Linked DNA regions of Drosophila melanogaster. The protein of the gene in region 1 interacts with the protein of each later gene in a pairwise test. Each region holds a gene or a part of one and is shown in the gene's direction. Other genes may lie near its edges. The genes, in order: Elal, TwdlL, Pka-R1 and Rox8.

Region 1 (7,113 bases):
CCAGTTCTGACAGTTCATCTACGCAGTTCCCTCTATTTATACCCTTGTGGATTGGAGTTGGGCACATTGTGATGGTGACACATTGTGGTCTAGCTCATTTCAATTCTTTTTTTTTACGACTTCTTATTCCCATAAACACAGTCGGAATCTCTGGAAGATTAGCGTGGCCAATGGGCAAGCGACTTAATGCATTATGCTGGATTTATTATAGCACGCGGATTGGCACGATCAGCATGCGGAGCACGCTTCATCCGCTGGAAGACTGAGCTATCGCAGATGGTAGATGGTCAGTATACAACGGACATCTCATACCCCAACCATTATATAAACTTCCATATAAATACACACTGCTGAGATCGTATGAGTGTACTTCAAATAAGAATTTGAATTAATTAAAATATAACACTAACATACAGAGATCTGTAAAGACTGGACGGATACTACTAGTAAGTCCCTTCCATTTATTCCTCTATTATGGATTTTTCATCACTTGAAGTATCTCTTTCATCGCCTGTATCTCTTATTCTTTTATACTTCAATCTGTATACTACATACTATATATGTATCTCAATTTTTGTTTTCAAGCTTCAGGTGTTTGTTTACTTTTCGTCTGATTATTATTATGATCATCTCTCTGAGACCTATTTTGGAGAGCGGTTAAGATCTCTCTGGTTGCGGACACTGATTTTCATCATGCTCTCACTGATCGCCGGACAGGTTTTCAATGTTTAATCAAGCATCAACGATTATCGCATAGGCGGAGCGTAAAAGTTCCCCCTCAGTTAGAGTCCGCCTTTTGTGGTGATCACTGCTCGAACACCCGAACATGACGCGATCTTCGCCAGCTTGGTGTGCTGGCCAGGCCTGGCTCGTCTGGCTTTTGGCATCCATCTGGATACGCACGTGTCTCGCGCAATTTGCAGTCTCCTCGTCCTCCGCCGGCGGAGCTGTTGCCTCCGCCGGTGGCGTCACTGTGGTGGCCCAGCTGCCCGGTTTCGGAGTTATCAATGGACTGATCAATGCCATGCACAACAACAACCGCTTCAACCAGCAGCCGCAGTTCGAGAGACTGCAGCAAGGAAGGCCGGGGATGGGTCCGAATCGAGGAGGAATGCACAGACCAGGATTTGCACCACCCAACCGTCAGCAACCGACGCCTCCTGGCTGGCCACCCGGCTGGCAGTGGGGAGCCGGTGGAAATCAGAATCAACCCGGATTTGACTGGGTTCAAACAGGATTTGCACCAGGCTGGAATGGAGGTGGAGGGCAAGGACCAGGATGGAATGGTCCAGGATGGAACGGAGGCGGTGGAAGAGGACCTCCACCAAGACCAGGTTTTAACGGCGGCGGACCACCGCCGCCAAGACCAGGATGGAACGGCGGCGGGCCACCACCACCGATGCCAGGCTGGAATGGAGGAGGGCCACCGCCACCAAGGCCAGGATGGAATGGCGGAGGACCTCCGCCACCAAGGCCAGGCTGGAATGGAGGGATGGAACAGGAATGGGATAACTATCCACGCCTCCCCGATCAGCCGGATCCCAATGATCCAAACACGAATTGGAATCCAGATAATGAGTCTAGCACCACTCCACAAACGCCAATACCAGGACCCATCTTTCCAACGACAACACCTAAGCCAGAGCCCACCTTTCCCACGATCCAGCCACGTCCAACCGCTCAGCCAACGAAGGATACGCTCATAATAGGAACCAATCGACCGCCGTTGGTGCCGCCCCATAATCCGGATCCACCCACGCCCACTTTTCCCACTTGGATCGTGCCGGAGCCATTGCCAAAACCATTGGACGAACTCTCCGAAAATCGTGCTATTATATTCCCCAGCTCTAGCAAATATATCCATGTGCCAAACCCGGAGGTTCCCTCAATTCCCATTGATGTGAGACGAAGATGAATCTTCTAAGAGGGAGTTCCCCGATTCACACTTGTTGTATATATATTCGTAGACCATTGTTCAATTGCTCCACCCGAGATCGTCTTTGTCATAAGTTCAAAACAGGTTCTAAAAGCTCGTTGGAAATAAACGAAATTTTAATAAATTACACATAAACAAATGAGACAGCACATGATTGGATGAGACTGGGGTATCTGACGGATGAACGTTAGTAACCCCGCTGCTTGTAACCACCTCCACCTCCGTAAAGATCCTGATTCTTGTGCGGATAATGGACACTGGCAGGATGAGACGGCTGAGAGTAGTATCCAGGCGAAGGACGCACTGACCAAGGTGGTGGATAGTAGTCATTTGCTGCCGGAACCGGTCGTGGTGGGTAATAGGCATAGCCACCTGGATGCGTCTGCTGGTGGCTACCACCGTAGCCGTAGCCTCCACCATAGTGATAGTCGTAGCCCTGCTCGTAGCCCTCCTGGATGAGTGGACCTGGTCCAGGATGTAGCTGTGGATCAACTGGCCTTGCTGGCGGATAATGATTTGGGTCGCCGAACAGAAGCTCCGCAATCTTATCGAAAGTGGGTCTACCGTGGGCCAAGCTGGCCAGGATTAGCACTAGAATCGCAGCCAACAACTGCATCTTGGGATATGTAGAGCAATTTTGCTGATAGTCCCAATGTCCATGCGGCTTTTATAGCCAGCAGCAGCACATGGCGATAAGAAAGATGAATGGAATCGAGTGGAAGAACCTTGGGTAATGGAACAAATGCTATATGTACATATGTACTTATAATACTAATCTATTGACTGGTAAACAAGGTTGACTGGGAAAGCTTTCGTTCTCTATATAAAGGGAGGATCATAACTCATGATCATCATCTATGCAAAGATGAGTTATGAATTGCTTGGGAAATCCCTAAACCAAAAATGCGTCTCAACTTATCTATTACTTGGCTTTAGGCCGCAAATTTATACATTGCAAGAAATTTATATATAACATTTATATTTATAAATTTGTATATGGGTATTTCTTTAAAAAATTCATTTATTTGTTCAAATTTATGGCTAGTATCTATGCATATGCACATTGTTGTGTTATATTTTCAACTTTTGCTTTCAGTGTAGACTCTCTCATTCAATTTACTAGAAAGAACACTCAATGAGACTTAAACTACATATCTGGGCATTGAGCCCCTGATGATAACCCCAAAAATAGACACTCAGCTAAGCTCTCGTGTCATCAGATCTCACCATGAAATACACGCGCCGTGAGCTTCTGGGCTTTAGTGTACCCAAAGACGCCATGTTAAGCAGGAGGGTCATCGCATTCGCCGCTCTGGCCCTCATCCAGATAGCCAGCGGTCAGGCCTCGCAATTCAGCAGGGACGAAAGTCAGGAGGATCAGAAGACGGAGTTTAACCTGGCCTCCACTCTGACGGGAGGCATTACCAGCAGTCGCCATCGCCAGCGGGCCAATCTCAATTCGCAACTTTATCCTGGCCTTGGTCAGCTGGGATCGGGTTATGCGGGCGCAACTGGATCCATCGACGATGCCCATGGCCATGAGCAGGGTGGCTCTGGCGTACGAGTGGCCAGTACGAACTCCGTTGTTTTTCCTGGCAACCAGTCACCAAATCCGGCACTCACAATTACAGGAGGTCACCAGATTCCCGCTTATCCGCCTCCGGGTTTTCCTGGACAACAGGCTCCAGTTCCGTACCCAGCTGCAGGAGGCTCTTCAGGAGGATCCTCATCATCCGGTGGTTACCAAAGTGCAGGTAGGTCCTTCTAATAGGTGGTTCATTTATCTTAGTGAAATCAGAAAACTAATATCAAGTCTTAACTCCCAAAAAAGTTATACAAAATTTAAAAGATTGGTGAATAGCAAATCCACATTTTGAAATATATATGAAATTATGATATTAATGAAATGTCCCCTTTTTAGGTGCTGTTTCTCCTCCTGGCTATCCTGTTGCTGGAGCAGTTCCTGCTCAGTATCCGGTGGGAGTTCCTCCCCAGCAGCCAGTGGGTGCAGGAGCACCTGGTTACTTCCCGGGAACTGGTGCCTATCCTGGCTATCCCTACCCCGGAGTATACTTGCCACAGTACCCAGCGTACCCTCAACCAGCCCAGTTCCCCGCCTATGGAGTGCTACCCGGAGCTGTGGCTCAACCAGGAGTTCCTGGAGTAGCTGGAGTTCCGGGAGCACCTGGAGTGGCAGGAGTGCCCGGAGCAGCTGGTCAGGCTCCTGCCACCAGCGGCATGAACTATCATCGCTATCCGGCTCACAATCCCGCTGATCCGAGCCATTGGGACCATCATTTCTCGATGAACACCGAGTACAAGGAGGATGGCGTCCACAAGGGACCATTTGGAGTGCTGAACAATCACAATGCCTTTGGCTATGGCAGTGGATATGGGGGCGGATACAACGGTGCCTTCAACTCGCCGGCCTACTGAAGCTGGCCGACATCATGGGTGGACCTCGGTGGTGGTGGTAGTGGTAATGGTGTTGGTGGGGCGTGAAGTAATCCGAGTCGTAGTCATAACTTCGCTGCTGCCTCCTTGGCCAGAGGCAGCTGTCTTTGCCTATCATCCTGTGTGTCCCTGCGAAATAAACTTGATTTCTGCACACCCAACCAAGATAATTAGCAATGCTGGCCAGTTACCAGTTGCACCTTGAACCGGAAAAAATAAAGCACATGCACTCGGCATTCTGCTCCCATACAGACAGCTAACCCAAGACATTCACATCCCATCCTTATTCTTTTCCTTATTCTTATGGCAATGCCGCTTCTTTTATCCGGCGTGGACACAATCGAAGACGACAGGAGCTACCTGGCTGGCAGGCAGCCGAAAAAAAGGGAACGCACAAAGGCAGGACTCTGGGCGAGCCAAAGGTGGTGGTAGAAAATCAGCGTCAGAGAGAGACGCTGTTACTGGTATTGGTACTCCTGGTGCCCTTCGCTGGACCCAACTGCAGCGACATAAATCGGCTGGGTTTCGCTGTGCAGCGGAAAAGAGAGGGCCGAAGGAAAGGAAAGGAACCCAACCAAGGGACGACGTCTTGATGTCTTGCGGCGCATGCGCAGCCTGCCGCGCAAATCCTTAACAAATTTTTGGCGCTAAAATGACGGACGAGCGCGCCAAAAGCAAGGAACCGCAGGAAACTCGAGAGAATCATGCCCGGGGTATACAGACTACGAGTATACAGACAGACACTTACACTCATGGATTATGAATGATTTGGACGGACGGTATCGGTGGTTTTTACCTGTAGCAAATCGAACCGATTCCAGCCAGGGTTTGATGTCCTTAGGTCATCAGCCATCAGCTGTTCTATGATGAGCGCGGAGAAAGGAGCACAGATTCAGCTGAGAGGATTCGAAACAAAGGAATTAGAATGGGTGGGGTAATGGGTATACTCACGGCAAAGAAGTCTAGATGTGCTAAACGTTTTCCCTTAACCTTTGACATCTAGGAGTTTATGCTCTGTTTCTAACAATTAAAGATTGAACTGCAACAAATACATACATTCCAGATTCTAGGAAATTGAAAATAATGCCCTAAATTATTTAATCCCCTAGGAACTAGGATCATTTCCAACATGCTGGATAAAGACAGCTAATTTAAAATACTTATTTAAAGTAAACATAAACACTAATGATACTACAATTGCATTCAACTAGTTATATCTGAGTTAATACTCACCCGATTTTGAAACTTCCATCAGGTTTTTAAAAGAGTTTTCTAGAAAGAAAAATAAAAATACGAATTTATTGCACTTACCCTATTAAAAGTAAGAATTTTTTCACTTCGCCCACCGTTTTCCGAATGTAATGATGGTAAAAAGATTGAAGTATTTTTGAACGGACGTAAAAATGTTTATTGGTATTCTCTCGCAAAACGATACATACATAACACTGAGTACATACATAACTAGTTACTTCAACAATGCAACGTTATCAACCATCCATGGATAAACGAGGTGAACTGAGGCAGGGCGGGGCGGGGCGGTATGATCAGGAACTGGGAAGTTGATGGTGAGCGTCCTTCGAGGGGCGGGAATGTGAGCGCAAGGAGGGGAGTCCATGAACGACTTAACAAATAACAGCATTAATAACGACGACAGGAACAGATGCACATGGCGTACATGGCGTGCACGGGACGAGGGTTGATCGCAGCGCATTTCCAGGTTGTACGGGACACACGTGCCTTTCATAGTCGCTTCGTATCCTTGCGTTTGTGTATCTGTGTAGAATAAGTTAGTGGGGATCCGTGTCTGCTTTGGTGGCTTACGAGTTAGGTTTATTTAATGCTGGCATCTCTTAAGACTAACGTACATATTAAAACATGAATCGTTTTGGGATTTTTTGGGTGGGGGTGCTAAAGATAATGTCGCCTTTCGAGTTTAGATTGATTGTGTTCGGCTACGTATGCGGTATGTGGGAAAATTAAACAATAATACATGGCAAAAAGAAACAAAAGCACTCTTAACATAATATTTATGCAAAAAACATGTCAATAATGCGAAGGTCACAATAATAATTAAAATATAATAAATTGCGAGGACTTGACGGGAACACTAGGTAAGGGGTAAAATCAGGGGTTTTTAGATTAAGGCGGGGATCCGCTGTTTCGTCGGGATGGGGCTAATATTGGGAATAGAAGCGTCTTAGAGCCTAAGTGAAGCGTATCGTATCATGTTGAATTTGGCTAAACTTTGAGGCTGTCCTACGACAGATTGCTTTCGTTCAGGTCAAGGTTGCCCTGGAAGAGCTCCTGGTTCGTCAGCAGCGGCACCTTGGCCACCTCGTGGAATATTTTGTGCGAGTACTTGTTCCGTATCGTCTTGATGGTGGCCCGTGGCTTGCGATGCAGTCCTGCATTGAGCGCGGTCACAATTTCAGCAAAGTCCGCCAATTGATAGCCGGTGTAGTAGATAAGCGTCGATGTCCACGTCTGCTTGTCCAGCTGCCCCGGACCGCCGTGCATACGCAGTGCCATGAACAGTGCGGCCGAAGCCATCTGCGAGTCACTGAACGAAATATTGGCGTAATCCATGAGCGACAATTCCAGGATGTATCGAGCCAGGGTCAGCGTGGGCATAGGCACCTTGGCGCATCGGGCATAGCGGCGCAGGAAACGGTACGAGAGCGGGATGCCCAGATCGTACTTGATAACGCGCAGCGTCTCCCGCT
Region 2 (5,929 bases), 1.8 Mb from region 1:
GCCCGAGGTGCACTTCGTCAAGTACCGCACTCCCGAGGATGCTGCCAACGCCCAGAGTGCCATTCAGGGTCAGTACGATCAGTTGGGAGGATCCAGTCAGTCCCAGAATGGAGGTGTTGCCTCTACCCTGAACTTCGCCTCCCAGCCGGCTCCACGCGAGAGCACCGCTGCCAGTGCTCCAGGACCAAGCTACCTGCCCGCCAACATCTTCCGTCGCTTCCGTGTTTAAGTGCCATTTACAGGATGTTGATTTTGTTGCCTAGTTATCATGTTGTCTTATTCCATAAATAAAAAAAAATAATTGTTGTAATCTGATTTGATTTTTTTGGGCGATTCCGTAAACAGAACACTTAAGACGGATTTTTAGCCGAAACAAATCCAAACAACTTATTGTATTTTACACTTTATTTTCCTACATATATATTCATTAATATATATATATTCATATTTTCATTCATTTGAAAAAAAAAATGTTTTGGATGAAAAAAACTTAAATGCTTATTTTATGAACGCCTCTGAATGAATGACACATGAACACATCAGTTGAACTCCAACTGAAGAAAATTTATAGTTTTCAAAAATAAGGAAAATAAAATTTAACGTTAAAACCCTTCACTTTCATTCGCTTAGCTTAAGATGACAAAACACTATCAAACGATTATTTTGTATGGATTACAGAAAAGTATCAGCAGAACTTTTGATGATGATATCCTTCTATCCAAACACAGCATTTTTCATATTGTTTGATTGCTTGTACGTTCTTCTTCTCCGTTTAAATGAGATTTTAAACTGACTGGACGCAAATATTCTGGCTCTTATATACGGGACTTGTATGGAATTCCCAGACTATTTAAAACAGGTTTGCCCAGAGTTCAAAGCAAGCTTCCGACATTCTTTTTGACTTTGAACCTCAAACTAAAAAGTCACTTCAAATTCTAGACCCACTTTCGATAGCAAAAAAGGCGACAAACAGAAAGCAACAACAAACCATTAACTATCAATGGAGTTCGCATAGATTAAGATTTTATCGTTTCGTAGGCGGAACTCAAAGAATGCATCACATTGTGTTCGACTTTAATGACCATCAGAACATTTTTGGACGGGCTCTGACTTTTTTTTTGGAAACGGGTTTGATAGTTTTGCAGCATTTTCCCCAATCGAATTCCGGGCAGTTTTGCCCCGGTCAAGAATAAATCGCGGCGCCATGAACCGGTCGAGAATTTGGCTTTTGCAATTGGGCAGAAAGTCGGGGGTCGCCGACTGGATGTATTGGCGAGAATTTTAGGATAGTTTGCATAATCATTTCATAAGCGCACCGCTTTGCATAAAAAACTAGTTGAGTTATGTAGCAACCCGACGGGAATGGTGTCGGTTATAGTTCTAAGTCGGTTCTAACTACGCCAGATGGGTATATAAGCTGCTCACCTCAGTCTCAGGATTCAGTCTTGGCCTTTGCCTGTTAAGCACACCCAGCCTACAAAACCAAACCTTCACCATGCGTTTCCTCATCGCTTTCTGCCTGATTGGTGCCGCATGCGCCCAGTACAACTACGGAGCGGGATTTACCGGAGCCGCCTCCGATAATGTTCCCAGTTACTCCGGAAGCAGTGTTGGCGACTCCTACGATGGTGCTGCCAGCAGCCCGGACTACTCGGTCTCCAGCGAACTGAACAAGGAGTACTACACCTTCGAGGCTGACGAGAGCCAGTTCGAGGATCCTCTGGCCGCCCAGAAGATCGCCGGCTCCGTGAACAAGGGACTCCGCGTGGTCTTCATCAAGGGACCCGAAAACCGTGGCCTGGAGAACGCTGCTCTGGCCCTCGCCAAGCAGGCTGCCGAGCAGAGGACCGCCATCTATGTCTTGAACAAGCAGACCGACATTGGAGATCTGGCCCAGAAATTCAATGCCGCCCGCCAGAACTCCAACCAGCGTCCTGAGGTGCACTTCGTCAAGTACAGGACTCCCGAGGATGCGGCCAATGCCCAGCGTGCCATCCAGTCGCAGTACGATAACCTGGGAGGATCCAGCCAGTCCATCAACGGAGGAGTTGCCAACGCCATCAACTTCGCCTCCGCTGCCCCCGTGGTTCCCGCTCGTCGTGGCCCCAACTACTCCCCACCAGCCGCCGCCACGAGCAACTCCTACCTGCCCGCCAACATCCTGCGTCGCCTGCGCATCCGTTAAGGACCGAACGAAAACCGACAGTTGTTAAATGTGTTGTATAAATGTAATTGAATAAAAAACGAAAATCGATAAAAACAAATACGCTTAGATTTATATATCTATTTTTAATCTAGATCTTCGAAGTTTCTGACTTTGTCATCGGCCATTGCAATTTGTTTGTTTTTTAATAGCTTTTCCTTATAATAACATTTATGCAAAGCTGAATTGCTCTGCGAGCCCGAACAAAAGCCGTTCGCTGCCTACTTTGTAGGCGGACAAAACATTTAGCAGCATCAGCGCTTTGTCTTCGAAAAACTGCGCCGCCAGCTTCGAAGTTGGGTTAGTATATATAGTTACCGCCGCCGTGGTCATAGGCAGAAGCAATTTGTGCTCCGAACCAAGAGAACCTCAAACCCAAAACTAAAGATGCGCGCCTTCATCGTAAGTGGTGTAGCCAGGACTTAAGACGAATTCACAACTAACGGATAACCCTTGAATCCTGTAGGTAATGTGCCTGGTGGCAGTCGCCTGCGCCGATAAGCTCGGCTACAACTACCAGCCCGTGGGACACTCCAGCTCCGGACTGTCCTTTGCTCCTGGAAGTGGCAGCATTGGAGGTGGATCCATTGGAGGTGGTTCGATTGGAGGAGGCTCCATTGGAGGAGGATCCATTGGAGGAGGCCTCATTGGTGGTGGCTCTATCGGAGGCGGTTCCATTGGAGGTGGTTCCCTTGGTGGTTCCATCGGTGGTGGCTCTATTGATTCCGGTCTTGGCGGTCTTGGTGGACTCGGTGGTCTAGGAGGTGGCGACGCTCTGGCCGCTCCAGTCTCCTACAACGCCCCCGCTCCCGCTGCTGAGCTCCAGAAGGAGTTCTTCACCTACTCCGCCAACGAGCAGGACTTCGATGAGCCACAAGAACTGGAGCGTGTTGCTGGATCCGTAAACAAGGGACTGCGCGTTGTCTTCATCAAGGGACCCGAGAACCGTGGTCTGGAGAACGCTGCCCTAGCCCTCGCCAAGCAGGCTGCCCAGCAGGAGACCGCCATCTATGTCCTGAACAAGCAGGCCGATATTGGAGATCTTGCCCAGAAACTGAACGCCATCCGCAACAACAATAACAACAAGCCCGAGGTGCACTTCGTCAAGTACCGCACTCCCGAGGATGCTGCCAACGCCCAGCGCGCCATCCAGTCGCAGTACGACCAATTGGGAGGATCCTCTCAGGCCCACAACGGTGGTGTGGCACCCGCCCTGAACTTCGCCTCCGCTGGTCCCGTCCAGAAGGCTAATGCTCAGATCCCTGAGAACGCTTACCTGCCCACTTCCATCTTCCGTCGTCGTTTGTAAATATTTTAACGACTTCGAGATGAAGGCGTTGACTGTTCTTGTTAAATCTTATTGTTGAAATCTATTGATAAATAATATACAAAAATCTGAATACAAACATTCTATGATATTTTATATTGGATGGTGGTGTAGTAAACAATAGTGTATACCTTCCGATGACAACATGAGTGGAGTTACAAGTTGGGCTTTTAGAAAATTATTTCAGTCTTTGGTGAGATTTTTCGACCTGTTTTTATTGCACAAAAAGTTTGGTAATGACTTTTAATTTGAATTTATTCTTAAAAAGGTGCAACGCTATTAACTTAATACAAAGCAAAAGACCTTTAAAACTCATTAAGAATTTGGTAAGCTATATTACCCAAGGCAGCTTCCCGATGACCTTGACGTTTAATATTTGTCATAACCAAAATATTATCCTACGAAGTACTGGGAAAAGAATAAAATAAAATATTTCCGCATATTTTAAATGTAGGCAAAATGTTTTTACGACAAAAAAGTTAAATTAAATATAAACATATCGTTTTCACCACTCTCAAGTTAAATTTTTTATTTCATTAGTAATATATGCGAAAATAAAGAATCAATGAACTGGGGGCGGCATTTCAAACATCTCATTAGACGACTTGCTAAATTTAGCGCTTGCATCATGTCCATAAATCAGAACTAAACAGATGTGTCGAAAACGATTATAATGACTAAACGATTGTCATTCAGTCGGAAAAACCAAGTGCAGATGTCCTACATAAAACAAGCTTTTAGCCTTGCCGAAGAATTTGTCAAAAAAATGTATTTTATATAATACTCGTACCTAATTATGACCCATCTGCATGTTAAACTCATTCCGACGTGCTCGCGACATATTAATTTTATAATTCAATATGAATTCTTGTAAACTATTGGACGAAACTCGAAATATTTGAATAACCCACGACGGCCAGACTCTGCCCATTGAAACGCAACCAAAAAATTCCACACCGAACATTAAAAAAAACAGAGGAAGCAAAAACCTTTGTAGGCGGCAAAACACAGTGGCTTCAAAGAAATCTCCGTGCAGCAGACGCCGCGGCGGTATCTTTGTCTTTATCAGCCTCCAAGATGGATTTGTATAAATAATAAAGATCGCTCCTAGCCAGAGACACAAGCAACTCATACCTCAAAGCAAAAGAACCAGCAATCTGCTTAAGATGCGCGCATTCATTGTAAGTAGCGCGGTTAAGGATTCAAAGGATTATACGCCAGGATAACACTTCTCTTTTCATGCCTCCAGGTCCTGTGTTTGGTGGCAGTCACCTGCGCCGATAAGCTCGGCTACAACTACCAGCCCGTTGGCCACTCCAGCTCCGGACTGTCCTTCGCTCCTGGCAGCGGCTCTATCAGTGGTGGATCTATTGGAGGAGGCTCCATCGGAGGAGGTTCTATTGGAGGAGGCTCTATTGGAGGAGGCCTCATTGGTGGTGGCTCTATCGGAGGAGGAAGCATCGGAGGTGGATCCCTTGGTGGTTCCATCGGTGGTGGCTCCATCGATTCCGGTCTTGGCGGTCTTGGTGGACTCGGTGGTCTAGGAGGTGGCGACGCTCTGGCCGCTCCAGTCTCCTACAACGCCCCCGCTCCCGCTGCTGAGCTCCAGAAGGAATTCTTCACCTACTCCGCCAACGAGCAGGACTTCGATGAGCCACAAGAACTGGAGCGTGTTGCTGGATCCGTAAACAAGGGACTGCGCGTTGTCTTCATCAAGGGACCCGAGAACCGTGGTCTGGAGAACGCTGCCCTGGCCCTCGCCAAGCAGGCTGCCCAGCAGGAGACCGCCATCTATGTCCTGAACAAGCAGGCTGATATTGGAGATCTTGCCCAGAAACTGAACGCCATCCGCAACAACAACAACAACAAGCCCGAGGTGCACTTCGTCAAGTACCGCACTCCCGAGGATGCTGCCAACGCCCAGCGCGCCATCCAGGGTCAGTACGACCAGCTGGGAGGATCCTCTCAGGCTCATGATGGTGGTGTTGCACCCGCCCTGAACTTCGCCTCCGCTGGACCCGTCCAGAAGGCTAACGCCCAGATCCCCGACAACGCCTACCTGCCCACTTCTGTGTTCCGTCGTCTGCGTTTCTAGGAAGGCTACATCTTGGACTCCATTAACTTAAGCAAATCTCGACTGAAGAACTCATTCTTCCTGTTACACGTTGTTGACTAATGCATAATTACACCAATAAATTTGAAATTTAAATACGAAAATTTAAACAAAGGTCTACCTTATGTGTTTTATAGAGTGAGATTTTTATTGCGGCTTGGCCATAGTAGCTAATGGTGCATTAAGTCCGCCTTGTTTGGCTTGATTGTTTGCGGATGGGTTAAGTATAAAAAGTGCCCTTCAAACTATAAATATCTCGAATTGACGACATCAAGATCAGGAAAGG
Region 3 (7,281 bases), on another chromosome or scaffold:
AGTGCATTCTGTGCTCGCCCTCACTAGAACGCTGAAGACTGCTCACACTGTTGGGCTCTACATGAAAAGTGTCCAATGGTTCCTGCGGAAGTGCATTACGATTGCATACATGTGCATTTCGTTTGTATTCGACACCTAACTTACCGCAGAATACTGGCATCGATGACGGAATGACATTTCGTTCCATCGGGTTTCAGCAGCCCGTCTTATCTCGTTATTCGAGTAATATTCTCCGTAGCGCTTCTTAAAGTCCCTCAGAAAATTAACAAAGCCAGACGATGAGGCGTATTCGTCCTCTGCCCTATTGATATCTTCTTCAATGTCGGAGGCGTCGGAATTAACATATTCAATTGATTTTTTATAGGTTTTCACTGATTTTGTTACTGCCACCTCCGGCTTGCTATCCTTTTGTTTCAGATTACTCATTTTGCAACCAATTCTTGCTCGACAGAAATTTTCACAAACAAATTTGTTACTCAGAATTATACAAAAAAAAATTATATATGTATAAAAAACTGTACTCAATTTTATCGAAATATTTTAGTTGTTCCTCGTTCAAAGGTAGTGTACTAACTGTTTGTATGCTGGCTTCAGCGTGGAGACCTGGAAATTGGATTTGAATGAAGGCTCAATTCTACTATGATCAAGAAAAAGTTCCTTTTTTCAAACCAAGTTGGCTGTTTTCAAAGTACATTTCGCAGATCGGCGCCATATTTCCATGGTTATTTTTGTATACTATATTCGTTCAAGATATTGTAGGAGAAAATGTTTAATGTTTCTTGATCAGTATCAGTCGAGCTGGCCATATTCGTCCGTCCGTGTGTCTTGAAAAAGGTTTTAATATTCTGTTTGCAATCCGACTAGCTGAGTAACGCGTATCTGATATTCACGAAATAGAATAGCGTACTTCCTTGTTTTCAATGAAATGAAATGAACAAATATTTTACAAAAGCAATACTAAATGTTATATTATAATCTGAACAAAATATGTAAGAAATACCAGAAATGTCGTTGGTGAGGGAAGGTGTTTAAATTATCCTGTGCGACTACGTTCCTTTCCGGGGTTTCAACCACTTGGTAAGCAACAAGCGGCATTTTGCTGGTTAATGCTGCCGCTTAAACGAAAATCAATACAACTTGCGGTCTATTTTCGAGCGGATTGTTAAAAAAAAAACCCATCCATAGGTGGATTTCCCAGCACGGATGCTTTATTTTCGGCTTCCTGCTTCGGAGAACTGTATTCCCTCTGTTCATTGTGAAGCTTTAAAGTTTATTTTGTGAGACAGGCTGCAGCAAAAGCTTGCAATGCTGCAATGTAAATAGAGCAGCGCACCTGTGGAGGTCCTTTCCACATCGTCCTGTTCCCCCTCTCACTTGCCAAGCGACTTTCCTTACCCCTTTTTCTCCCAACTTTGATTTTGAGTACGCCTGTGTGTGTGCGCCGGACTCTCTGGGGCAAGTTGCCTGTTGAATGCCGGACCCGCTGTCAGTTGGATTAGCATCCTGACGCCGTGCAGAAGCATCCTGCTTCCACCTAGTTCACTCCGTTCGTTTGCTTTTTATTTGTTTGCCTCCGCGCGCCATGGGCAACCAGTTGAGTGTGAACAGCATCCAGGATGCGGTCATCGATCGCTTCCGCTCGGTGGCTTTGACCACCGATGCCAACGGCGCCATGCGCATCCGTTCGTTTTCGGAGGGCGTGGTGGCCACCACCCACCATCATCATCAGCATCAGCAGAATCAGCAGCAGAGTCCCCATTGCAGTGGACGCGGCGGACGCATCCTGCGCGAAAGTAGCATCGATGGCGGGGTGGCCATGTTCGATGCTCTGCTCCGCGATGATCACGAACATCGGCTGAGCTTGGATGCAGTGCATCGCATGCGGCATGTTCGCACCTCCTGCACCACAATTCCCGAGGAGGATGCCGTCAGCGATCGCAGCCTGCAGATTCATCTCTCCACTCTGGCCCGCGAACGTGAACAGGAACTTGAGCTTGAGCGCCAGCGGGAACGCGAAGTAAGTTGGAAAGTCGGAAAAGTTTCCAATTTCCGGAAAACAGTAGGAAATCACTAGGAATTTGTGCTGAAAAGCTTTTGGCGGAAAAAAGATTTAAAGTGTGGGAGTGTGCGCATACTAGAAAGCTTTGAATCGTTTGAAATTGGTGTCTTGTTGATTCGATTTGTGACTACAAATCACGATGTCGTTAGTTCTAACACAAATAAAAACATGCAAAAAAATGTTTACCTTATTCCGCGAGCACCTAATACCCTACTTAGAATATAAAAATTTAATAAAATATGAAAAAGTTTGCTATGTTTTACGTTAAGGCCTTTTAATTCTTTCAAAATATCTTTCGTATCTGAAGAAAAAGAACGAACAGGAAGAAAATGTTCACATTTTATTTAAACATTATAAATTTATTTTTTGCAAAAAGGTAAATGGAAAGGGGTTAATTTTTGGGATACAGTAGAATATAGTAACCTAAACTATATACTAATTTAAAGAAAGTGCATTTCATAATGCCCCACGAGCTGCTTTTTGCGACAAAATGTCGAGTTTGCACTTGAAACTCGAAGGGAATTCTAACGAAATCAAAGCGCTCCCTTCGCTTTCCCTTTAGCACTTCTGGCCCTTTTCTCCCGTAAAAGCTTTTCCCTTTGCCAGGACTTGCGTCACAAGTGCGAGTGTATGTGTGTGAGGTGGTGGGCGGGTGTGCGAAAAACTTTACTTTTTGGCCAGTCGTATTTGTATGTATATATTTGTGTATATATAGAAAGGTTGCCTTCGCTGGGCGTGTTGGTGAAGGTCATCCTGTCGTCGTCGAGATTGTGTTTGTGTCTGGCTGCTAGAGTTTGCTTTCGTCCTTTCGTTTGTCTCAGTCACTTTTTGGCCACCGTCAGTTGCCCATCGTTGTTCCCAATTTTAGTTTTTTCGCCAACTTAACTGCTCAATTTACTAGTTACCATTCACCTTTTGCGGTCGTTACTTTTCGACTTTCTTGCCTGATTGATGGCCACGCGAATTCCGCTGCTCCGATCATCGAATTGTCCGGTTTAACGGTCGTGTTAATGCCGCTTTTACGGCTGTCATCGCTCCGTCCGGCGCTGTTTACGCCGGCTTCTGATTAACAGCGGAATCGTGCCAAAAACTACGCCGGACACTTTGTCCCCAGTGTCCGCCATAAAGTACAGACAAACAACAATCAATTGTGTTGGCCAAACGAGGTTGGAAAAGTGCCAAAGCGGAAGTGACAGGAACTCGACCAGCGAAATGGTGGGTAAAATTCGAAGTGTTAAATACGGTTAACTTGGTAAATATTTCGGAAAGAATTGGTTTCAATAGCGTTTTTATAGTGAGGAAGAGAAAGGGTCCCATTGCATTAACGCTTAAGAATCCTTAATCTTTAACATTCAAGTATTCATTCTTCTTCCGTTCCTTCATATTTCTATATTATCCCATTGAAAGGTATACAATTCTCATTTTTAGATATTTATTAGAACTCAAAGTTGTTAATAGTAATATTACTTTCCGATTATCGAATTGCCATCAAGGTATAACTGGATACATTTTTCTTCCAAGCTATATAAATAGTCTCCTTGAGGAAAAACAAATTGACAACATTTTTTTTTAATGAAAATCAACAATTTTAAATGAAATCAACACTCGTATTCTATCCAATCTGTTTGTTTCCTTCCAGAACGCAAAGCATTTAACATACAATTCCAATGAAAAATTTCCCCGAAATATGGCCTCGAATTATGCTCTGTTTACTTGATTAAATTGTTATTTTACTACCTTTTATTTCCTTTTTATGCACTCGCATCGCATTAAAACGATTTCTGTGATATTTTTAAGTGGGTCCGATGAAAGCAATTTATGAGCTCAAAGAAGCTGGGGTCGGAAAAATCGAATTTTTGAAATTTGAAAGCTGGAATCGTTTGCCCATTTTTTGCCCATGTTTGCCCACCAATTAGTTTTTTTTGCCCACGTCCAGTTTTTGAGATATGAATTTTCGAAAAAGTTCGAAAATTTTCGAAAATCAAAAATTTCGCTTTTTTCAAAATTTTTTTTTTTAAATCGCAATAACATCGTTTGCCCACGTTTGCCCACCCTTTAGAATTTTGAAAAAATTTATACTTTAGAAAATATAAGGCTTTTAAGTTTACCTCGGTCTAATCAGAGAGTAAATCGTTTGCCCATCTCTTAAAACCAAATATTATCAACAAAAAAGGTTTGCCCAACCATTATTATTAGTTTTTATCGTTTGCCCACCCTTTAAAAAACCTTTAACAAAAATTTTTTTTCGATTGCCCACATTTAAAATACACCCAATTTCGTTAGCCCACCTCTTTAAAATAAAAATTTCCAATAAAAAACGTTTGCCCACCATTTAAAAATAAATAATTTCGATTGCCCTGCGCTCTTTAAAACTAAATAATTTCGTTTGCCCATCCTTTAAAATTCATTTTTAACGTTTGCCCACCCTTTAAAAATAAATTATTTCGTTTGCCCACCCTTTAAAATTTGTTTTTTTCGTTTGCCCACTCTTAAAACTAAATAATTTCGATTGCCCACCTTTTAAAACTAAATAATTTCGTTTGCCCATCCTTTAAAATTCATTTTTAACGTTTGCCCACCCTTTAAAAATAAATTATTTCGTTTGCCCACCCTTTAAAATTTGTTTTTTTAGTTTGCCCACTCTTAAAACTAAATAATTTCGATTGCCCTCCTTTTAAAACTAAATAATTTCGTTTGCCCATCCTTTAAAATTCATTTTTAACGTTTGCCCACCCTTTAAAAATAAATTATTTCGTTTGCCCACCCTTTAAAATTTGTTTTTTTCGTTTGCCCACTCTTAAAACTAAATAATTTCGATTGCCCACCTTTTAAAACTAAATAATTTCGTATGCCCATCCTTTAAAATTCATTTTTAACGTTTGCCCACCCTTTAAAAATAAATTATTTCGTTTGCCCACCCTTTAAAATTTGTTTTTTTCGTTTGCCCACTCTTAAAACTAAATAATTTCGATTGCCCACCTTTTAAAACTAAATAATTTCGTTTGCCCATCCTTTAAAATTCATTTTTAACGTTTGCCCACCCTTTAAAATTTGTTTTTTTCGTTTGCCCACTCTTAAAACTAAATAATTTCGATTGCCCACCTTTTAAAACTAAATAATTTCGTTTGCCCATCCTTTAAAATTCATTTTTAACGTTTGCCCACCCTTTAAAAATAAATTATTTCGTTTGCCCACCCTTTAAAATTTGTTTTTTTCGTTTGCCCACTCTTAAAACTAAATAATTTCGATTGCCCACCTTTTAAAACTAAATAATTTCGTTTGCCCATCCTTTAAAATTCATTTTTAACGTTTGCCCACCCTTTAAAAATAAATTATTTCGTTTGCCCACCCTTTAAAATTTGTTTTTTTCGTTTGCCCACTCTTAAAACTAAATAATTTCGATTGCCCACCTTTTAAAACTAAATAATTTCGTTTGCCCATCCTTTAAAATTCATTTTTAACGTTTGCCCACCCTTTAAAAATAAATTATTTCGTTTGCCCACCCTTTATGATAGGGTCTAGGCTATTTAAAGTTAAATTGGCACTAGTATCCAGCTGTTGAATTCCACATCGTTCTTTAACCACAGTTATCATGTTATTCCTATTGATTCTGGCATAGAAATTAAGCGTCTTCGCGCTGATCGCTCCTTTCAATTGGTTGCTTATATCCATCCAAACTTTATCGCTTCTTGGCTTAAGAGCTCCAGTCTCCGTAAAAATATTCGCGCAGCAAAATGCATCCACTAAGGTGTGACCATCGACTTGCGGTTTGGCCGGCATCCTGACAGTAACACTTATTTTTTATGGAGTAAATAAAAAAAAACTATTTTGCACTGATTTACACGTTTTACACTGTTGTTTACACTGTAAATGTATAAAGGTATGCCTAAAGGAAAAACGCGTTGTATAAAAATAAAAGCAAGAACCGAATAATATGGAAATTTTGCAAGTCTTTAAAAAGACTGTCAACAAAATTCACAAGGATTCAAATAAATTTAACACAATCACTCAGATTTCTTAAGTTCGTGCTTAGCAACTTTCACTTTCTTTGAAAAACAAAACAACTTTAACTTTTCCAGCACTGGGTAAGCGTAGTTAAAATCGCGCACAACTTTTTCACATAAAAAATATTTTAATTATGAGTTCCGGATTTATCTTTTACACCTAATATGAGTATCAAGGAGGAGAGCGATTTTCAAATACCGACAAGTGTTTTAGATTTTATAGAGGATTCTGACCTGCCATGAAAAACCCATTCATAAAAAATTTAACACTTTGTCACAGGTAAAAAATTGGACCCTATCATAAAGTGAGGTTTGAAAATTATGTAATTACCTGGTAAACTGTAAATTACAAGATTGGCAATCGGAACCAATTTTTGGTCTATATAAACCCAGAAACACCTGTGCGTCTGCACGTGTTATGTAGGCAGATCCTAAAACTAGGAAAGTGGCACGTGTTTATATGGTGGGCAATAGAATTTATTTATTCTTAAGATTTTAGGATGGGCAAACGAAATTATTTAGTTTTAAAAGGTGGGCAATCGAAATTATTTAGTTTTAAGAGTGGGCAAACGAAAAAAACAAATTTTAAAGGGTGGGCAAACGAAATAATTTATTTTTAAAGGGTGGGCAAACGTTAAAAATGAATTTTAAAGGATGGGCAAACGAAATTATTTAGTTTTAAAAGGTGGGCAATCGAAATTATTTATTTTTAAATGGTGGGAAAACGTTTTTTATTGGAAATATTTATTTTGAAGAGGTGGGCTAACGAAATTGGTTGTATTTCAAGTGTGGGCAATCGAAAACAAATTTTTGTTAAAGGTTTTTTAAAGGGTGGGCAAACGATAAAAACTAATAATAATGGTTGGGCAAACGTTTTTTGTTGATAATATTTGGTTTTAAGAGATGGGCAAACGATTTACTCTCTGATTAGACCGAGGTAAACTTAAAAGCCTTATATTTTCTAAAGTATAAATTTTTTCAAAATTCTAAAGGGTGGGCAAACGTGGGCAAACGATGTTATTGCGATTTAAAAAAAAAAATTTTGAAAAAAGCGAAATTTTTGATTTTCGAAAATTTTCGAACTTTTTCGAAAATTCATATCTCAAAAACTGGACGTGGGCAAAAAAAACTAATTGGTGGGCAAACATGGGCAAAAAATGGGCAAACGATTCCAGCTTTCAAATTTCAAAAATTCGATTTTTCCGACCCCAGCTTCTT
Region 4 (10,468 bases), 820 kb from region 1:
CCGCTGTGCGAAGAGTGTGCCGACTCCATGCTGGAAATCATGGACAGGGAACTGCGCATCGCTGAGGACGAGTGGGATGTGTACAAGGCTTATTTGGATGAACTAGAGCAACAGCGTGTAGCACCCAACGTTGAGGCCCTGGACAAGGAGCTCGACGAACTAAAGCGCAGCGAGCAACAGCTTCTGTCGGAGCTAAAAGAGCTCAAAAAGGAGGAACAATCGCTAAATGATGCCATTGCCGAGGAGGAACAGGAGCGAGAGGAGCTGCACGAGCAGGAGGAAAGCTACTGGCGCGAGTATACCAAGCACAGGCGTGAGCTAATGCTCACCGAGGATGACAAACGAAGTCTGGAGTGTCAGATCGCCTACTCGAAACAGCAGCTGGACAAACTGCGCGACACCAACATATTCAACATCACCTTTCACATCTGGCATGCCGGGCATTTCGGTACCATTAATAACTTTAGGCTGGGTCGATTGCCCTCTGTATCCGTGGACTGGTCAGAGATCAACGCCGCTTGGGGCCAGACGGTGCTTCTGCTCTCTGCGCTTGCTCGTAAGATAGGGCTCACCTTCGAGCGGTATCGTGTAGTACCCTTTGGAAATCATTCGTATGTTGAGGTGCTCGGCGAGAATCGAGAGCTCCCGCTTTATGGCAGCGGCGGATTTAAGTTTTTCTGGGACACCAAGTTTGATGCTGCCATGGTAGCTTTTCTCGACTGTCTTACCCAGTTCCAGAAGGAGGTCGAGAAGCGCGACACCGAGTTCCTGCTGCCCTACAAGATGGAGAAGGGCAAGATCATCGATCCCTCCACGGGAAATTCCTATTCTATTAAGTAGGTTTAGAAATGGTAAAGATTTTACCTATAATAATGATGGTTTCCTTACAGAATCCAGTTTAACTCGGAGGAGCAGTGGACCAAGGCACTGAAATTCATGCTAACCAACCTGAAATGGGGATTGGCCTGGGTTTCTTCACAGTTTGTGTCACCGTGATTTTTCTTTCTCTTTTAAATGTATATTTATAAATTACTTAATTATCCCCATAGTATTAAATCTAAATCTTTCAAATTTTAAATGAGAAGTATTTATATTGTTATGTTTATTTCAGGTAAATTTTGAAATAAGAACGTCTTTGGTACATACTTAATTCAAAAGTTATTTATCTAGTTTTGTATAGCTTTTTTCTGTGTTTTTGGCTCCTCCTCGCTGTCGTCAGAGTCAGAGTCGGATCCAGAGATGTCATCGTCTATCCAGAGTGTGCCCTTTTTCTTCTTTTTTGCCTTGGTCTTGTCTACGGCGGGGGATTTCCTCTTTGTGCCACTGGAAGTTGCTTCCTCGACGCCTTTCTCCTTGTTCTCCTCGGCCTGCTTGAGTCCCTCCTCGAAGGCGTCGTTTACCTTCTCGGTCAGATTAGCCCTGGCTTCCTCGTACTTATCGTCCTTAAAGTCGTGCTTGGGCACGGCCAGCAGTTTCTCGATTTTTCGCTTTTTACGCTCCTCGGCCTCCCGTTCCCGTTCGCCCTGCTTCTCCAGCCAGGCGCGCACCCGCTTCTCCTCGTTGATATCCCGCAAACGGCGACCACTTAGATCGCGGCAAGCCTCGCGATTGGTTGTCTTTTCAATTTGCGCACCAATGGCTCGAAGCATGGAACCAAATCCTCCTTTGCCACCGAGCTGGCGGAGAACGCAGTGAACATCTCCAGATGAAATTTCTCCCTCCAAGCGCTTGCCATTGCTGACTAAGTAGTATTCCCCTGGTTGCAGGTTCTGTAAAAAAAAGGGCCACATTGCAAAATCTTATGAAAATTATACATAACATACTCACTGTTTTCTCCGCAATCCGACTGTAAAGCTCATCACATTTAACGTGATCTCCACAAGAAATTATATATTTACTGTTTATAAAAATATTTATGCCCATTTCGACGACCTTTTCGATAACGATTGTTATTTCTAGTCTGCTTTGTGCTGCATTTGCGCCCGCGGTGAGTGTGTTAGAGAGAGAAAGCGGTGATGCAAGCGTTATCGCCTGCCCTAGGGTTGCCCCCTTTTCGATAACGTTGCTTCAAATAACTTAAAGTCGCGAATTAATGTGTGATCCTTGTCATATTATCGCTGAATTTCCATTAAATACCCCTACGTAAGTAATTTTATAAAAAAATCTTGTCAAGTCCATACTCTTTATTGCATTTCCCATCTTGCCGCCATTGCGTTTTTATTTCTCAGCAAGTTGGCAGCCCTGGCTCTCGCACACAAAATCTCATTAATTAGTTCGCATTTTAGACGACGAAGGTAAAATTTTAGCGACGCGTTCAACGTACATTTGCAGCCCCTAACAACTTTGAAAGTTTCGCAAAATTAATACAAACCGGTAGCGGCTAAACTTGACCGTCAAATGAAGTGTGCGAACAGAGTGCAGAGCAAGTAAAATGCGGTAAATTTACAAACGCAGCCACGTCACAGAGAGCGCATTAAAGAAAAAAGAAGAGAGTGCGAATTTTGACAGCGAAATTCGAGTCTGAACAATGGACATTAAGCGAATGCACTATAGTGCGGCGGGGACGATAATTGTTAAGCCCAGTTTTCGGCACCGCTGTCAGGCAGCAGGGTCGGGGCGGAGGCGTGGCGGTTGTTGGTGGCGGGGGAGCGGCATTAAAAGATGGCAGCACAAAAGCGAACAAGATACATACATATACGTACATATAGCGGCAAGCTGAAAAGGCAAATGAAAAGTCCCGCATTCAAATCGTCTTGGTATTGGTATATTGGCATTAGTTTAAATACACTCAATAGCCAAAAGCGGAAAAAAGCAAAAGCAAAAGAAAAGTGGAGACTCATGTGAGGAAAACGCAAACAAAAAGACCAGCGCAAGACGCCTCTCTCTGCGTGTGTGTGTGTGCGTGTCGGTGCTAATGTGTCAGTGTGTGTGCGAAAAAGAGACGAAGAAAATAAGCAGCAAATGAGCAACCAAAACCACCCCGCCATTCCCTTTTCGCCGTCTCTTCAGTTCTGTGACTTTGACTGACATTTTCTAGCGCCGCCGCCGCAGAAATAATCAAAATCAAGTTTAGTTCTATGCAAATTAAAATTTGATTTCGCAAAGTGTGAAGAAGAAGAACACGAATCTAATGCAACCGTGTGTGTCACCCGCCCGCCGGTTTCGCAAAATTTCCCACATCTTTCTCTTCCTTTTCCCTGTTTTTCTTTCTCCTCATTTTGTTATCGACGGTCATTCATCTTCTAGTCGATTTTCGTCGTTCTCCTTTCGCCCTCGTCTCGCTGGCGTGCCTGAGTGTGCATTTCTGTGTGCTGTGCGTGAGTGGCCCAAAAAAAAATTTGTAAATGTGAATACAGAAATATATTAATTATAAACTAAATCATTTTGCAAGGCCCGCAAATTTGTTGCGAATGAATGGCTATTGTCAATTGTTGGCCATTCGCTTTGTTATAAAGACAGGCAGTCTCTTTCCCCTGTCCTTTCCCACCCGCCTCTCTCGCTCCGAAGATAGCTCACTCACTCTCCCCGTGTTTTTCGTGTGCGCCAGTGTGTGTGAGCGTGCGTCTGTGTGTGCGTGTCCCTGCACTGCTTTGCCGCCTTCTTTGTTCCCATCATGCGAAAAGGGGGCGGGGCGGGGTAGTCGATTTATATCCATATCATTTGCGCCTGTTTTAAGGCCCACCGATCATGTGCCATTAGACCTTGTCCCACTCTTCCGGTTATCAGCGCAAAACTAACCCAAATTTACCTCTCTCTTTTACAGCAGCAACGATTCCAGGGGTCAGCTTCGAAACCCGAAAAGTACACTCAGCCTGCGAACTTTCACGCTGTTTAACTTAGCTAACTAATTTTTGTACAAGAGCAAGAATAAGTAGTCGCAACCAAGTATTCATATGTACATTTATACAATCCTGTATATTGGAACGGACAACTATTTATAATCACAACAACAACATCCGGATCATCGAAGAAGGATCGAGCAATTCTGAAATACCAAGTAGTGTACACCAAGAAACCCCGAATCCAAATCCCAGGCCCCCAGGAAAGGAAGTCAACCGATTATAGACATATATATTAGGCGACTAATCGTATATTCCAAAACACTCCATTAGCGTTTAGTTAGGACAGATATATTTATACGTATACATATAGATGTTTAACGAAATTTTCAATTAGGCGCCAGATTAGGAACAAAATAAAGCAATAAACGACGAACCTCAGCGTTAAGCAAATAGATCAACCTACCTAGATTGAGCATATAAAGTTTATATAATCCAAAAAAATCAAGCCAAGCCGAGAGTAAGTCGAAAGTAGTAGAAAATCAAAGTATTCAAATCTCTCTTGGAGTTTCCTGTTAGCAGCTAGCACCAATTAGATTGCCGCAAATACACCTGTTTAATTAGCAGACACTTTAGATTTTGTACGTAGCTAGGAACTTAATCTGCAAATTTTTGATACATCCCCTTCCGATTAATGCGGCCAGGTGCAGTAGTTGCAATTCCGGTTTTAGTGTAGAGTCAGTAGATTGTCGCTGTAGCCTAGTGTATAATCAGATCAAAAAAGCCACAGTCCCGTGACATCCGACAGCCATGGACGAGTCGCAACCGAAGACCCTATACGTGGGCAACCTGGATAGCTCAGTGTCCGAGGACCTGCTAATTGCCCTCTTCAGCACCATGGGGCCCGTCAAAAGCTGCAAAATCATTCGGGAACCGGGCAACGATCCATATGCCTTCATCGAATATTCCAACTACCAGGCAGCCACAACAGCTCTGACCGCCATGAATAAACGCCTATTCCTCGAAAAGGAAATCAAGGTAAGCTGATTAGCTTCTCTTAAGTTATCAAGTGGACAGCGGTCATTTTCATTCATTTTGTTCGAAACTACACTCTTGCAACACACACATTCCCCACGACCAAGCCCTCATGTTATTTTAATTATGTAGAACTTAATTGATTATTACCTATTAAACGAATGCTCTTCGCAGGTCAACTGGGCCACCAGTCCCGGCAATCAGCCGAAGACAGACATCAGTTCGCACCACCACATATTCGTGGGCGACCTCAGTCCCGAGATTGAGACAGAAACACTGCGCGAGGCTTTCGCCCCATTCGGAGAGATCTCCAACTGTCGCATTGTGCGCGACCCTCACACCATGAAGTCAAAGGGTTACGCCTTCGTGTCGTTTGTGAAAAAGGCGGAGGCAGAGAACGCCATCCAGGCGATGAACGGCCAGTGGATTGGCTCGCGCTCGATACGCACCAACTGGTCCACGCGCAAGCTGCCACCACCACGCGAGCCTTCCAAGGGCGGAGGCCAGGGAGGCGGAATGGGTGGCGGACCGGGCAATGGGTCCGGTGTAAAGGGAAGTCAACGCCACACCTTCGAGGAAGTGTATAACCAGTCGAGCCCCACCAACACCACCGTATACTGTGGCGGATTCCCGCCGAATGTCATCAGTGACGACCTGATGCACAAGCACTTCGTCCAGTTTGGTCCCATCCAGGACGTGCGGGTCTTCAAGGACAAGGGCTTCTCGTTCATCAAGTTTGTTACCAAGGAGGCAGCCGCCCACGCCATCGAGCACACGCACAACAGCGAGGTACATGGAAACCTGGTAAAGTGCTTCTGGGGCAAAGAGAACGGAGGCGATAACTCGGCCAATAACCTCAATGCCGCCGCTGCCGCGGCAGCAGCCTCTGCCAATGTTGCCGCCGTTGCGGCAGCCAATGCTGCGGTTGCCGCTGGAGCGGGTATGCCCGGTCAGATGATGACGCAGCAACAGATCGCCGCCGCAACAGGAGCGGCGATACCCGGCCAAATGATGACACCCCAGCAGATTGCGGCGCAGTATCCATACGCGTACCAGCAGATGGGCTACTGGTATCCACCTGCGGTAAGTGTTGTATTCTTTAAATACGCAGTGACCTAAAGATTGACCCTAACTTTGTGCTTTTCTGCAGACTTATCCCACAACCCAGATGCAGACGCAATACATGCAGCAGGGCTACTATCCCTACGCCTACCCTACCAGTGCTCAGCAAGCGGGAGGAGTCCGTAAGTTTACTTTTCTCAGTTGCTGAATAATCGTGACCTTGGCTTAAACAGCTTGCATACAATTTTCAGCGGCTGGATACCGCATGGTGCCGCCGAATGTAGCATGGGGCGTGCCCGGAACTGTGGTGCCCGGTGTGACGGCTGCCGCAGCATCCGCGGCCGCTGCAGCGAACGGATCACTTGCCCCCCAAATGATGTACAGTGCTGCGATGCCACAATACCAGACCCAATGAGCTGAGATGTGACGCCAGCTTCGACGCCGTTTGCAGCATCCGGGAAGTCGCCCCCAGCCGCAGCCACAACCACCTCTGCTGCATCAGCTTCCGCACCTGCAGCAGTTGCAAGCGCATTACGCACGTTTAGGTTACGTACAATACCGAGTAGTAGCAAAGTCGGAGCCGCTCCTGGCCATGCCGTTGACCAGCGGCAGCAGCCACATTGACGGTGGCAATGTATCTGGAGATTATTAAGGATGCGCGAGTGTCCACTTTGAAGTTGTGGCTACGGTTGCGGCTGACTGCGGTGGAAGGAAGCGGAATCGGGTGTGGTATATAGCCCCCCAAAGTCGAACGTTAAGGCGGTGCGTGGAGCTCAACTTCAAGTGATCCACGCCGGCGACAACTGAAAGAACATCAATTGAAAAGCTCCGGGCGATGGGCGGGTAGCTGTAACAATCTAATCCAATCTAAGTACGTGTTAAATTAATTTAATGATTTCTAATTTAAGCAGATATAGGCGTATAAACGAAACGGAAATAAAATAAACCGAATGAGAAATTCAACAAAAACAAACAAATAAAAACTGAAAAGAGAAAATGCTAATTACGCGCGACAGAGTTAAAACAAAAAGAAAACAATCGAAACAAAAACGTGACAAAGCAAATTGTAATTGTAACTATGTGGAACATGTGTCAACGAAAACTGAAGACGGAAAGAGGGTAGTTTCAGTGGGATGAAAGGATAGCCGCAAGCAAGCAAGCCGAATGCAAAAACAAGAGGAAAAACAAATTTAGTCACTAAGAGAATGTAAATTCGAGCATACATATTGTATATTTCCAATGTGGAAAACGAAATGCGATATAAATATGTAAAATGTAAAATAAAGAAGCAAAAAAATATATAAAACAAGTGAGAAAACGAAGGGACGCTGGTTTTTATATTGAGGTAATGAATTAGGATGTGGAATTATTATTTCAAACTTTAATTTATATCATTGATGATAGAAGTGGTTACTACTACTACAAATCTGGTGGAGGATTCAGCGGAGTCTAAAATATAGTTAAAAAGTAATTAACTTTTACAATTGTGCTAAAAAGTTTTCTTAAGGTATAACATACATACATGAATGAATTTTATAGCTTTAATATTCTCTAGTGAGACGCAGTTTTTCTGCGAAACTAGTTTTCATGAATGCTTAATTCTTCTGCTTACTTTCTCTTAATTTAAATGCACCTGGTGATGTCAGCCGTTGCTCAATTCTCAATACACTACCAATGGTTTCCAATAGCTTAGAATTTTGTTGATGATTAAGAATGCAATTGATGTTTCTTGAAATCGATTTTATTTAGCGTATTCTATAGATTTCTTTATATATATAGTTTTATATGCATGTAGTTTTTTTTTGTATCTGTGTTTAGTAACTAGTCAAAGAACTCAAATTCCGGGTGGGCGAGCTGCGTTGAAGCTGGTTCAATGTGTCGCGATAAGCGACGGGCATGTGCGCGGGTGAAGATGTATCTGATCGATCTGATAACACCAGATCCATACGCACCTGCTAGGTACAACATTTTTGGGTGTGTTACTAATAATATAGGTGAATCGGAGACGATTGTATTTATGGCTGTAGGTACATAGATTGAAACAAAGGAACTAAACTAGACTAACCATACGGACAGTGATAACTATTAAAACTTAAATACGATTCTGCGCTGGTAAATGTATCTTTGTGGGTGTGTATAAGTATATCATCGGTCTTAGGTCTACGCTTACTTCTAGATTACATGTAGCTTGTGGATGGGCACTCAATGTACAACAAAAATATGCTTTATAGTTCAAGGATACAATGGAAGTAGTTGTGAACTCCTTGGGCCGCCTGTCTTACAAAAAATCACTACGGAATGTTTCAAAAAACTAATTTATAAAGCAATGTGGCCTTGAATTACTATCATAAACGAAGATAGGGCAAACCTACTATTCTAAGAACTCCAATGAAAAGTACAGATCTTAGAAATATATACCATGAGTATGAGTATAACGATAATGGAGCTGCATGGCAAATGTTGCACCACATGGACATGGTGGTTAAACAACGAAAAAATACAATACAATGTTCTTAGGCTAAAACACCAGAAATAGCTGGGAAACAAATCATATTAAATAACTCACAGGTAAATACAAATGTAACAATGTTTGTGAAACGAAAAGTCTACGGATTGAATAGAACCTTAAGGGCGAAAAACATGGGTCACATAATCAAAACTAGTGTAACGACAATGGGTTGCGCTCTGAGACTCACATCACAGCTTCTCCAAATTGGATTGATGAAGGAGGGCAGGATCATTGGCTAGAACAGACTAGATGGTGATGTCGCCATAATCTTGCGACCACTTCTCATATGAGTTGAGGCTTTGCGGCGCCACCGAGCGCCTGATGCGCTTGAGCGAACTGTGAAAGTCCTGCTCTGTGATTGCACGCATTGCACTGATGTCCAGACACTTCACTTGCTCCACATTCAACTCTCGAATGGGCTCCAATGCGGCGTCCTTGGCCAGTGCCGTTAAGTCGGAGCCCGAGTATCCGTCTGTTATCTTTGCAAGGCGACGCAACGCCTCGGTATCCAACGGACTGCCTTGCTTCTGGAGCAGTCGATTGAGGAGCAGCTCGCGGGTTTGCTCGTCGGGCAGTGAGACGTAAACGCGCTTTGTGAACCGACGCAGGGCTGCCTCGTCCAATTCCTGCGGTCGATTGGTGGCGGCCAGCACCACGATCCTGTCTCCGTCTGGATTTCCAGGCAGCCCATCGAACTCCACTAGAAACTCGGTCTTTAGGCGACGCGATGCTTCATGCTCGCTGCTGCTTCGCTCTGAAAGCAACGAGTCCACCTCGTCGATGAAAATAATGGAGGGCTGCATGTGACGGGCCACGGCGAAGAGAGCCCTCACCAGTTTCTCGCCATCCCCCACGTACTTGCTGGTCAGCGAGGCAGCCGAAATGTTCAGGAAGGTGGCACTACACTCAGTAGCCACGGCGCGGGCCAGCAGTGTCTTGCCATTTCCGGGAGGACCAAACAGCAATAAACCCTTAGCCGGTGCACGAAGCCCTAAAAAGGAAGAAGATTGGTTATGGTGACGGTTCTAGTCGCAGAATAACCAACTCACCCGTAAAGAGTTCCGGTCGGACGGAGGGTAGAATGACCATTTCCTGTAGAGCCTGCTTGGCCACATCCTGACCGGCAATGTCAGTCCACTCCACTTTGGCCCCACCCTCGACGATCTCGTCGAGTATAAGTTGCACCAGCTTCTGTTCCACTCCCTTCACACTAACCACCGGAGTGCTGGCGCCACTGCCACTGGGTCCGTTGTTGTTTATGGGAGTCCGCGAACGCTGGGGCGGCGTATTACGCCCCGAAGACTGTAATATGAGTAATTTAGTTTAATTAGTATTTTAATTTCTGAGTATTTGCCAAATGTGTAAAAACAAATTTAGTTTACTTATCAGATACTCACAAATTGTCGCCGAACGGCGGGAGGCGTTGCAGCTGTCTTGGCTGGTTGCCTTTGGACTGCGCCTACAGATGTTTTGGAGCCAAGGTTGCGGGGCAGCGTTTGTGATTTGTTGGCCACGGCCAAGTTGACGGGTCGTTTGGATCCAATTGTCAGTTTGCGGCCAGATGCTGTGAACGAATTAGCACAATCAGAGATGGATAATGCGGAAGAATATACTCTTTTACAAGTTTACAATTTGGCCAATCGAAATAAAAAATTCTAAGAAAATCAAGTGCCAAGTGAGGTGATAGGGATTGACTAATCGATCTGCTTATGGTGGCTTTGCGCTGGCGTGTGAGGATCTTGTTGGGTGCGCGTTAGCTGGTGAGGAACTTACCAGTGGGTTGGGCACTGGTGGTGGCCTTGGGCCCATAGCCACTGCTGCGCACCCTTAGTTTCATTGGTTCGTTGGTCATTCCTGCCAGCATGGGCTCCCTGGTCTTCTGCGGCTTGCTTTGAGCCTCTTCTTTCTGCTTCTCCTTTAAGGAGAGGCGCTGCATTTGCAAATCCTGCTCACGCAGAGCTGCGCACCGGATGAACATGTGCATATGGACAAAACGGAGGGGACAACAAAAAAGCAGGGGAAAACGTGCAAAATGAAATAAAAAAAAAATGAGGTAAACAAATCCTATGTTTTAGGGGTATAG

What was found.
Region 2: the proteins of Elal (region 1) and TwdlL interact in a two-hybrid assay, tested with the Drosophila melanogaster proteins (one large-scale study listed by BioGRID).
Region 3: the proteins of Elal (region 1) and Pka-R1 interact in a two-hybrid assay, tested with the Drosophila melanogaster proteins (one large-scale study listed by BioGRID).
Region 4: the proteins of Elal (region 1) and Rox8 interact in a two-hybrid assay, tested with the Drosophila melanogaster proteins (one large-scale study listed by BioGRID).

Annotation. Positions count from the first base shown.
Region 1 is NT_033777.3:24,862,155-24,869,267, forward strand, and holds Elal (Elastin-like), read left to right. Parts: upstream 1-3,195; 5' UTR 3,196-3,215; coding exon 3,216-3,690; intron 3,691-3,857; coding exon 3,858-4,372; 3' UTR 4,373-5,497; downstream 5,498-7,113. Other genes in the region: CG7016 (uncharacterized protein), read left to right, coding at 827-1,915; Srg1 (Sting-regulated gene 1), read right to left, coding at 2,124-2,552; CycB3 (cyclin B3), read right to left, coding at 6,647-7,113.
Region 2 is NT_033777.3:26,622,264-26,628,192, reverse strand, and holds TwdlL (TweedleL), read left to right. Parts: upstream 1-2,540; 5' UTR 2,541-2,590; coding exon 2,591-2,605; exon of another isoform or gene 2,606-2,669; coding exon 2,670-3,512; 3' UTR 3,513-3,606; downstream 3,607-5,929. Other genes in the region: TwdlK (TweedleK), read left to right, coding at 1-229; TwdlO (TweedleO), read left to right, coding at 1,496-2,185; TwdlB (TweedleB), read left to right, coding at 4,697-4,711, 4,780-5,625.
Region 3 is NT_037436.4:20,817,453-20,824,733, forward strand, and holds the start of Pka-R1 (protein kinase, cAMP-dependent, regulatory subunit type 1), read left to right. Parts: upstream 1-1,512; 5' UTR 1,513-1,582; coding exon 1,583-2,017; intron 2,018-2,878; exon of another isoform or gene 2,879-3,271; coding exon of another isoform or gene 3,272-3,274; intron 3,275-7,281. Other genes in the region: Mst77F (Male-specific transcript 77F), read right to left, coding at 1-82, 145-426.
Region 4 is NT_033777.3:24,039,787-24,050,254, reverse strand, and holds Rox8 (Rox8), read left to right. Parts: upstream 1-1,989; 5' UTR 1,990-2,142; exon of another isoform or gene 2,143-2,465; intron 2,466-2,533; exon of another isoform or gene 2,534-2,756; intron 2,757-2,886; exon of another isoform or gene 2,887-3,067; intron 3,068-3,242; exon of another isoform or gene 3,243-3,317; intron 3,318-3,763; 5' UTR 3,764-4,589; coding exon 4,590-4,817; intron 4,818-4,988; coding exon 4,989-5,897; intron 5,898-5,964; coding exon 5,965-6,058; intron 6,059-6,109; coding exon 6,110-6,291; 3' UTR 6,292-7,199; downstream 7,200-10,468. Other genes in the region: Atg6 (Autophagy-related 6), read left to right, coding at 1-836, 891-996; CG5986 (uncharacterized protein), read right to left, coding at 1,167-1,769, 1,828-1,923; spas (spastin), read right to left, coding at 8,631-9,376, 9,435-9,687, 9,783-9,949, 10,159-10,344.